Danio rerio: one gene and its partners. The protein of the gene in region 3 binds, or shares a complex with, the protein of the main gene of each other region. Links are inferred from orthologs where the notes say so. Each region holds a gene or a part of one and is shown on either strand. Other genes may lie near its edges.

Region 1 (3,762 bases), on a different chromosome or scaffold from region 3:
GCATCCGTTCTGTGGGTAAAAATGACTTGTTAATGCAAGAGGCCAAAGAATAGCCAGACTGGTTCAATAGAAAGGTAAGCAGTAACACAGCACAAGAGTAACAACCACTATCATTACAGCTGAGATATTAAAATCACCTCAAACCCTAAAAACAGATGAGCTACAGTAGCAGAAGTGTTATGTCAAATAAATCATATAAAACACATGACATAGGTATATTTCTGTTCATTTAATGAGGAATTGTTTGAAACAGCAAAAAATCCCTTTCCCATTATTTTCAGACTCTTCTTCTGATATTTGAGGCTAAAAGGAAGCACTCTACCTCATAAATATGTCTATTTACAAAACAAGAGAACAGCTGAAACACACAGACTTAAAGCATAGTACAAGAACAATGAAACATTACTCCCATATTTCATTTAGATGTGCTCTAAACTACACACATGTCTTATGTGCCTATTTTATCATCTTATGTATTATTCACGCTAATTCCCTAAATCATTGCACTACTAGCATGGTCTTGAGTCAATGTTGTAGCTACTAGATGTACAAAGCTCAGGTAGACTATTATTGTGTACATGTTCAGTACGGCTTTGGTGAATTAGTTAACTCTATTTTGATGTTCATTTTAACAACTACAGCACCTGAACATGACAAATGACTGGATTCCAGAAGTTCATCCTCTTCACATGGATGAGTAAAACCAACGCTGATCATTCTTGCTGCAGTACGAATCACAACAACCTGGAGAGTCTTAATCAACTTTCTTAGGTTTTCGATTCTTCCATGTTACGATCCCTATGAATGTGCCTTAAAGAGAAGTAGAACATTTGATTATTAAATACAGAGGAAAACATGAAAAGCTTTTAATTTTAAGGTTAGCTGTGCAAACATGCTAAAAGTGAACAATGTTTAAAATCATTTAGTAAATCTATTTGCAGCGTTCAAGAAAATGCAAGAAAAACTATTTTGACAGAATTATGTTCACATAAATTTAATTAACACAATTATTATGTTAAAGTAAAAGTTTAATCATCCGGTTTAAATATTTCAAAACTATTGATTGTAATAATAATTTTCTGATAAATAATTTTTATTCTCAACATTTGCAATTTAAATTTTGCTTATCTGTTTCTATATTTTAGCTCCCCACGTTGATGTTGCTTTTACTATTTGTTCATGTTTGTGAAGCACTTTTGAGTTGTATGTTATGCTGGAAAAGTGCTATACAAATAAAATGTATTATTACTATAAATTATTATTTTTATTAAAGAAGGATTTTGTTTTTCGCTTTCCTCACTGAGGCATAAATGCTTAAAATGACCATATTTTAATCAAAATTTACAGCATGAACATGTCATGTTAATTTTTTTATGGTTTTATTACTTGATCTGCTTACCAACAAAGAGCAAGAGGATTAATGCTGCGATGCCAGGAAGTATGACTGAATATTCTCGTGGAAGAAAATAGCTGTGTATCACATGGTCACTGTCTACGAAAGGCTGGAATAAGAGCAGAAGAGTTTCCATCACTTTTTTTAGCAGCATATGTTTTAGTAGCACAGGAAATAAGTAACACATTGTGCATGATTTATCTACCGGTAAAAATGAATTTAACTGATCACTTACCAAGACTACCACCCAAATGGAGTAATATGTGAACAGCAAAAGACTAAAGCCAACGAGTCCAAAGCCAACAGCTTGATCTGCTCCGGTTGCCTTAAGATAAATAGTTTTTGGGCTTAGCTCATATATTAACACATCACATTTTATATAAATTGCAAAAATAAGTAATTCAATAAAATATTTATACAAATTATACAATAAAATAATATACAATTTCTTAAGTCTTATTTGGGGTTATTTCAATTGTATTTTACAATCAAAACAAAAATAATAATAATAATAATTTTACCTCAAGTTTAACATAAATTAAGAACATGTATGAAGATTTTAGATGCAAATATCTCTAAATGCCATCTGAGTTTTTCCTCTAAAATAAGCATTTTTATCAGATTCCAGTGTGTATGTTCAGTAATATCACTTTAGGACAAAGAATAAGTCCTTTTCCTGTTCTTTAAAGTGAAATATCTCAACATAAACAAAGGAGGTAGGTAAAAATTTTAAATTTTCCATGGAAATTTAGGATGGCACTTAACGTTAGAGGTTTTTGCATCTGAACTCTTCATATGTACATACATAGAGCTTATAAAGACTTTCTGTCTGGATCTCTGGATCACAGCAAAGTATATATTGGCCTAGCTTTCAGCAGCGGTCTTTAAACTATGAACGAACAAGTAATGAATAAATATAATTTTAAATAAAAAGTAAGTTATATAACATGTCTAAAAACTGAAACTCTCATGAACCAGACGCATCACATTAACTAGAAAATTGAACAGTAAGTTAACTCTCTAGGAACGACGAGGCGTCTTAAAATGTGTTCTGTAATATACAAAATATATAAATACACAGGACAAAACAACAATTTTATACCCATTTAATTTCATCTTACCATTACGAACGTGCCACTTCCGCATGAGCTGTAAAACGTACGTACTTCCGACAGGCAAAGGAAGTGCTGGGAATTGTAGTTTACAACTCACCTTGGTTTTTTCATTATTCATCACACGAGGGCGCACAAACACAGATCCAGGTTTAGATACCCTCCAAAAAGAACAGTATGAAACAATAGAAAAAAATAACATAAGAGATAAAGAGAAGGCATGTTCCCCCTGCGTTCGCCTGGGTTTCCTCCGGGTGCTCCGGTTTCCCCCACAGTCCAAAGACATGCGGTACAGGTGAATTGGGTAGGCTTAAGTGTCCATAGTGTGTGTGTGTGTGTTTGTGTGTGTGTGTGTGTGTGTGGATGTTTCCCAGAGATGGGTTGCGGCTGGTAGGGCATCCGCTGCGTAAAAACATGCTGGATAAGTTGGCGGTTCATTCCGCTGTGGCGACCCCGGATTAATAAAGGGACTAAGCCAACAAGAAAATGAATGAATGAATAAAGAGAAGAGAGAAATGGAAAGACATTAAATATTTATAAGTATTAAATTAATTGTTCACATTATTATTTATTAGCATAAAAAATTTGTTTTGCAAATCAGAGTTAAGGCTACTTACACGAAGACCTTAAAAGCAAAGCATATTTTCACAGTTTTTAAAGCTTTCTTATTAGATTCTGAAATCAACTTTATATTGGCTATAATTCTTTCTCCACATCTTTAATGAAGACCATAAAGGCAGCTGCAACCCAGTATTGGGAAACATCCACACACTCACATTCACACACATACAATACTTATTCTGAGAGAATGAGTTAAACTGATAAATATATTTGGTTTTGTTATTTTAGTATTTCGGCCCTCTGCTTGAGAAGTGTTTTTCTGCTCAGTGTGTGTAAGTGTCCAGTAGGTGGCGCTGTAAGGAAAAGTTTTGCATGTGGTTTTATGGTACATACATGATCATGATGCTGCAAAATACTACAGTTGGATTACATTAGACTATATCGCAGGGAGATGTGCACAAACACACACGTAGGCTATATACGTATAGTTTCCGATCTCCGCCGCCGCCGTTTGAAACCCGGTCCATTGTTTAACACTTCCATCTGAATTTCGGAGACAAATGTTGGCAGATACAGCCAGAATAAAAAAAAACAGTTGATTCACTTCAGTCTTCACATACAGTAAGGTCACATTGATCCTCATTCCACATACGAACCAGTAGAGTCAGACACAGGACATGTTATAGGAGGGAAACT
Region 2 (3,762 bases), on a different chromosome or scaffold from region 3:
ATGCAGAATATCTAGCAAAACATGAAGCATTACCTCTGCGTCATCTGCTCTGTGCTAGAATTTCTTGACAGCTCTTGTACACTTGAATCAAACAATTGAGCCGAGGCTTTGAACTCTGGAGGAAGAACCAAAGGTGTTCATTTACATACTGAGATGTCACAAATTCCTATAATCTTGCTTTTGCGAATGAATAACAACAGCTGTTTTGAACCTGGAAGAGAGGAACAACACTGGTCACCGTCTCAGGATCTGCTGGGTCCTTGATGAGAATGCACAGATAGTATATGATGTTGTGCTGAGGAGCAAAAACACAAACACTGATTATTTTTACATCTCGATATCTATCATGCGTGAAGGTCACTGTGTGTTTACCATATAAACAGCCTCATTTATGACGATGTCTTTCAGCTTGCTCATCTCAATGAAAGTCGTGCTTTCTCGTCCAGAGGCGTAAGACGAGGACAATTGGACACCCAGAGAGCCTATTATGAGAAGGGTCTCATGGTCCACCTTCACAAAGTGAATATGAATCACCATCCCAACTAAAGTGAGGATGATGGCACTTGACAGAACCGCCGTGTTCTGAATATTAAACAGAAGGAGAATTATATTAGATCAATAAGAGCAATTAGGTTAGATTTATATTGAACATTTGCTTGACATTCACGAAAATATTTCATATATTCTATTATAATATCAAACTTTCAATCGCAGCCATGTTGGAAATTCCTGAATAAGTTCTTCTTGCTTAGTACTAAGTGGAATTTTGAGATATATACTAGGGCTGTATGATATTGGGAAAAAGCTGATATTGCAGTATTTAGTTTTTTGTCAATACACATTGAGATTCTGTAAATAAATTCACCAGATGAAATGAATAGCTCTATTTGGAAAGAATTTACATAATTTTACATTGATTATGATGATTTTGTGGAGTGTATCTGCATCAAATTTAATAAATCAATCAAAAGTATTGATAAAAACAGTAGAGCAAAGCGATGAATGAAAACAACAACCTTCTAGCAGTATTCGGGTACTCAAATTGAGTAATCAAATGTAAAATAGTTTTCATTATTTCATTATGCATGAATGCTTTACATGCTTACACAATCACAGGCCTTAAAAACACAAACATGATTAATTTGGGTTCCTGTTCGACTATAATCCTGCCAAATGAAATGGTTACTGAGTGTATTGGATTTAGAGGGATACGACTTTATTGAACCAACATATTCTGTATTTTGGTTTTATCTTCTTTAAAATTGCATATTGTGATGGGTAAAGAAAGCATTTTTTATGGTTTGGCTCATGTGATAAAATCACTGAATACAGTTGAAGACCACATGATCAGCCTTACTGTAAAATCCTTTTTCTTAGAATAATTGCCGATGGATATTTTAACAGAGCAAGGAAAATATTTACAGTATTTCCAAATATACTTTTCATTTACACTTTTTAGAAGCTTTTTTTTTTCAGAGAAACTATATATTGTTTTCTTATTTTGATCTCCAAATACAGCCTCATGCACAATCAAATGTTTTAACCTGCACTCAGCAGCTGTAATAAATGCACTATAAATGACAACGTAAACTACTTCTGTTTCCTCACTATATGGACGTACATTTTAAATATGTATTTTTTTTCCCTTAAGAAATATTAAATATTGGCTACAGATCAAACCACTGTTGTCCAATGATTTGACCTAGTTAACCCTAAATAACCCAGTTAAGCCTTTAAATTGCATTTTTAGATTAATATTACTAGTATTTTGCAAAATAAATTGTAAAATATTATTTAATTTCATTATGGCAAAAAACAAAATAATTATGTTATCATTAAATTCTTTTTTTAAATAAAATCTTCTCTAAACGTTAAAGAAAACTTGGGAAAATAACTTAGTAAAAAAAAGTTCAATTTCAAAGGAGGGCTAATAAATTTGTTTTCAACTGTATAATAGACGTTTTCGCGCAATGTCAAATCAAAGTCCAATAAACAGTCATTTTTTGTCTAATAAACAGCAAAAGACGCCAAGGCCTTCATAGTCCGCATGATAAAATGTTCTTACCTGGGTGAAGAAGAACACAGCATAAGCAAATAACCACACACAGCAGGTGTACACCATCACCTTGCGCAAGGACAGTTTGGGTGAGGTAACAGTAAACTCTCTGCAGAAAGAAGAGTGCGTTTGGCAGTCTAAAGAAATCCAGTTGCCATTTATGTCTGTGAACTCTTCGTCGGCCATCTCGATCACTGCTGGTTATTTCGCGGTCGGAAAATTACATTAATAAAGACTTCAGAATAAATAGTTTTGCTTAGATTATTATTTTTCCACCAACAGTAAAACCATCTTCTTCTTATGATAATGTGACGTTGGCAAAATAACATACAGGTGCGTTTTCGCCATCTACTGGACTGGGGTTGAAAACTCCCATTCTGGACCACAAAACCAGTTGCACAAAAATATTTAGCTCTCGCTCCAGTGAAAACAAGTACACTGTAAAGTACATTGTAAAAGCCTAAATGATCTTTTTCATTAAGTTATTTACTGAGCTATGTTTCACAAAAATATATTTTTTTAAATAAATACAAGTAAATAATAAAATTTTTGATTAGTAATATTTGCACCTCCAGGTTGGAGGAAAGTTCTTACCCCAGGTAGAGGAGTTTAAGTTTCTTGGGGTTTTGTTCACGAGTGAGGGAAGGATGGAAAGTGATATTGACAGGTGGATTGATGCAACGTCATCAGTAATGCAGTCGATGTACCGGTCCGTTGTGGTAAAGAAGGAGCTGAGCCGAAAGGTAAAGCTCTCGATTTACCGGTCAATCTACGTTCCTACTCTCACCAGTGGTCATGAGATTTGGGTCATGACGGAAAGGAAAAGATCTCATATACAAGAGGCCAAAATTAGTTTCCTTTGAAGGGTGGCAGGGTGCACTCTTATGGATAGGGTGAGGAGCTCTGACACCCGGGAGGAGCTCAGAGTAGAGCCGCTGCTTGTCCACATCGAGAGAAGTCAGCTGAGAAGTCTGCCTCCTGGACGTCTACCTTGGGAGGTGTTCCAGGCATGTCCCACCAGGAGGAGGCCTCGGGGAAGACCCAGGACGGCTCTCGGCTGGCCTGGGAACAGCAGGATACCCCCGGAGTGCCATGTGAAATACGCTAACTGTTTTGATGTTATTAGATTATGCAGTAAGACTATATTAACTTGAGTAACAATTAAAATGTTAAGTATTTTATTTTATTTATATTTTAGTGTCTTTGTCACCAGCAATGTGAAGGTAATAATCGACCAAATAAATGTAGCCTACAATAAAAAAACTGCCTAGTACATTCCCATAAATTGTATTCTACCACCATTTTGTTTTTGAAATATTTTTCAGATGACCTCTCCCCATTGCATTATCGATTCTTTAGGAAATGTATGAGATCTGACTGCATTTCCCATCAGCCCCTGCGGTCGGTAACCTTTGACTCCCGCTCCAGTGAAAACAAGCCGATCAGCTGATCTGACCTGGCAACAACATTCACCCGAATCTACCGGGGAGGGGAATCATTTTACAAGCTGGTGGGCAAAAACAGTTATCTTCACATCAACCGGCTTATTGTTTTTGTGTTTATGACAGAGTCGTTGTCGTGTGCGATGTTTGAGGGAATTCAGCAGCTCGTTTGTTGAAAACTGCGGTGTGATTCTGGCTCGAAATCAGCTTGTTTTGTTCGGTCAAAGCTCTGTTGATCAGTGTGTGTTGTTGGGTGAACATACT
Region 3 (2,823 bases):
CCCAGCCAATCACCTGATCCCAATCCAATAGAGAATACTGAATTCAGCTCAGATCTGAAAGACGAGACCCACAGAAGCATCAAGATTTACACACTCTGATGAAGACTGAGAGAAACTCACACCTGAGCACTGCAGGAGGCTTCATTCTCCATATGAGACACGACTTTAGGCTGCCGTCATTCATAAAGCCTTTTATATACAGTATTAAACACACTTCAGCAGTTCAGCACTTTCTCCATCTGTCAGTTCAGTTTTATTTCACTCAACTCATGTTTCATAGTTTGTTTGTTGTTTTATGTTTGGGGTTTTACCAAAATCTTCAACTCCATGTCAGCAGCTCCTTCAGGAATATTATTCCCAGGAAAAAACATCAGTGTGTTCAAGACTTTTTTCCCCCGCTGTGTGTGTGTGTGTGTGTGTGTGTGTGTGTGTGTGTGATTGATAGATGTATTACTGCTGAACTGTGAACACAAATAAACAGATGATGTGCATTAGTTTCTCCTGTCATGTTTGATTATGAGGATAGACACCACAGGTCTGTTCACACTAATGATGAACGAGAACATCTCAAATATGAACAACATATAATAATTTAATTCAAGCGTCACAATAACAGAGGAGTACTGCAGCTTTAATGTGTACCAGACGCTAGAAAGTGTCATATACAGACAAAATACACATTTCCTCAGCCTTTACTGGAGTTTCACCTGTTGAACACACAAGAGGATATATTGATGAAAGCTGAACTAATAAACAGCACTGACTCATTTGTTTTTCATACTATAGAAGTCAATGGTTACAGGTTTACAACATTTTTCAAAATATCTTCTTTTGTGTTCAACAGAAACAGGTTTATAAGCACTGGAGTATGGGCCAGTATTGAGTTATTTATGGCAGTTATTAACTTTATTTTTATACAGCGCCTTTAACAGTGCCATCTCAATGCACTAAACTATTATTTGTGCTAAAATTATTCCTGTAATTTCTTAAGACTGGATGATGTTTATTAATAACTATACTTACAGAATTATCCGACACATTAAAGCAGACATAATATGATTATTATACATGATACGACATAATAACTACAGAAATATAATTAATATAACATCACTTGTGTACATTTCATAACCTGTGGGCACTCAATGGGATGATGGGTATTTATTCAGGGAAGAACAGGACGTCTGAATGATGCAGAGACACACTGATAACTGCAGATGCAGCGTGTGTGTGTGTGTGTGTGTGTGTGTGTGTGTGTGTGTGTGTGTGTGTGTGTGTGTGTGTGTGTGTGTGTGAGGGGTCACGGGGTCACAGGTGAAGCGTCAGCAGTCTGTTTACGCTCACTGCAGACTGATGGACGTGATGGTCAGATAGAGACGTGACCGTTTCACTGCAGGTCACTGTGAGGTCAGCGTCTGACACACACACACACTCACACTCACACACACACACACTCACACACACAGTGAGATTCAGAGATCTGAGAGAAATGCTGAAGTGCAGATGTGTTTTGAGGTGTGGCTTCACAGGGGTCGCTGAGGTCACGGCGGGGTCATCTGGAAGCCGGAGTTCAGGCCGTCACACACACCTGATGGATCTGCTCACCTGAGACGCCTCTGCAAACGCCTCTCCAGCGCTGATGACAGAGGCGGCTCACAGGTAAAACAGCCGGCTCATTTCACTGACCGACACGTCTCGGAGTCTGGGGATCGCTCCCGGCTGGTCCTCGTCCACCCGCTGACTCCTGCCATACGCATCTGGAGCAGCACACAAACCAGCGTTACGTGTGTGTGTGTGTGTGTGTGTGTGTGTGTGTGTGTGTGTGTGTGTGTGATTTAACACTGTCTAATGAGAACAGAATCATTCATCCAGTCATGAGAGTTCAGTTCTGGTGAATTAGACTGACAGAAGAGACTTCAGATTCGCTGACAGCACATTAGGAAAGTGTCTGTGACGGTTCAAGAGACTTTAGTGAAGATCAAGTGTCCAGATGTGGAGGAGTAATGTCAGAATCTGCTAATCTGCCATTCATCATAGGGGTTGAGACTGTTAACTCATTAAAGGAGACTTATTCTGCCCCTTTCTACAAGCTGTAAATGCGTCTCTGCTGTGTCTCTCTCTTGTGTGTGTGTGTGTGTGTGTGTGTGTGTGTGTGTGTGTGTGTGTTTGAGCTGAGAACAGTACACAGTTGATGTCCTCCAGCTCTCTGAAACTGACTCTTTCAGGCTGTGATCCTCATTGTGGTGTTTTGGTGACTGTCGCTTTAAATGCAAATGAGGTTGAGCTCTTTTTAGAAGAGGGCGGAGCTACAGACGGCTATGCGTCAGTGTGTGTGTTGTGTATGCATCAGTGTGAGTGTGTCTGCAGTCTGTGGCTCCTGTCTCTGTTCATCTAGAACTGCACATCTATAATGCTCTGAGTCTCCGCTGACATGATCTTCAGCAGCTCAAACACTAATGGCTCATGTGGTGTTAGTCTGAATTCTCACCTGTGATGTTGTCCACTGAGGCCAGCGGAGCCGTGTTCATCATATTCACTCCGAACAGTAGCACGAAACAGGTGCTCAGGGCCACCAGCAGGTATATGGGGCCCGCCAGAGCCCAGTATCTGACGACAGACAGACGGAGAGAGAGAAAGAGTGATTGATCAGACATTAAACATCAGCATCTGAAGAGCAGACGACAGACAGACCACTCACTTCTGCGGCCAGTAGGTCAGTCCGGCTGCATGGAGCCAAGAGTCAGGAACAAACGCCCAGACCACATACAGCACTGATGGAGAACACAAACACACACACAAACAAACACACACAACACCACAGAT

Evidence for each region.
Region 1: pigp (region 3) and dpm2 share a complex: the UniProt entries of both Homo sapiens proteins name them as parts of the glycosylphosphatidylinositol-N-acetylglucosaminyltransferase (GPI-GnT) complex. The link is inferred for Danio rerio from reciprocal best matches to the Homo sapiens genes PIGP and DPM2.
Region 2: pigp (region 3) and pigh share a complex: the UniProt entries of both Homo sapiens proteins name them as parts of the glycosylphosphatidylinositol-N-acetylglucosaminyltransferase (GPI-GnT) complex. The link is inferred for Danio rerio from reciprocal best matches to the Homo sapiens genes PIGP and PIGH.

The regions. Positions count from the first base shown.
Region 1 is NC_133180.1:32,331,457-32,335,218, forward strand, and holds dpm2 (dolichol phosphate-mannose biosynthesis regulatory protein), read right to left. Parts: upstream 2,573-3,762; 5' UTR 2,518-2,572; coding exon 2,515-2,517; intron 1,719-2,514; coding exon 1,629-1,718; intron 1,503-1,628; coding exon 1,400-1,502; intron 811-1,399; coding exon 755-810; 3' UTR 211-754; downstream 1-210. UniProt on the Homo sapiens protein: Regulates the biosynthesis of dolichol phosphate-mannose. Regulatory subunit of the dolichol-phosphate mannose (DPM) synthase complex; essential for the ER localization and stable expression of DPM1.
Region 2 is NC_133195.1:31,131,964-31,135,725, forward strand, and holds the start of pigh (phosphatidylinositol N-acetylglucosaminyltransferase subunit H), read right to left. Parts: upstream 2,361-3,762; 5' UTR 2,243-2,360; coding exon 2,066-2,242; intron 583-2,065; coding exon 373-582; intron 296-372; coding exon 212-295; intron 116-211; coding exon 41-115; 3' UTR 34-40; intron 1-33. UniProt on the Homo sapiens protein: Part of the glycosylphosphatidylinositol-N-acetylglucosaminyltransferase (GPI-GnT) complex that catalyzes the transfer of N-acetylglucosamine from UDP-N-acetylglucosamine to phosphatidylinositol and participates in the first step of GPI biosynthesis.
Region 3 is NC_133185.1:420,798-423,620, reverse strand, and holds the end of pigp (phosphatidylinositol N-acetylglucosaminyltransferase subunit P), read right to left. Parts: intron 2,772-2,823; coding exon 2,699-2,771; intron 2,608-2,698; coding exon 2,489-2,607; intron 1,758-2,488; coding exon 1,654-1,757; 3' UTR 569-1,653; downstream 1-568. UniProt on the Homo sapiens protein: Part of the glycosylphosphatidylinositol-N-acetylglucosaminyltransferase (GPI-GnT) complex that catalyzes the transfer of N-acetylglucosamine from UDP-N-acetylglucosamine to phosphatidylinositol and participates in the first step of GPI biosynthesis.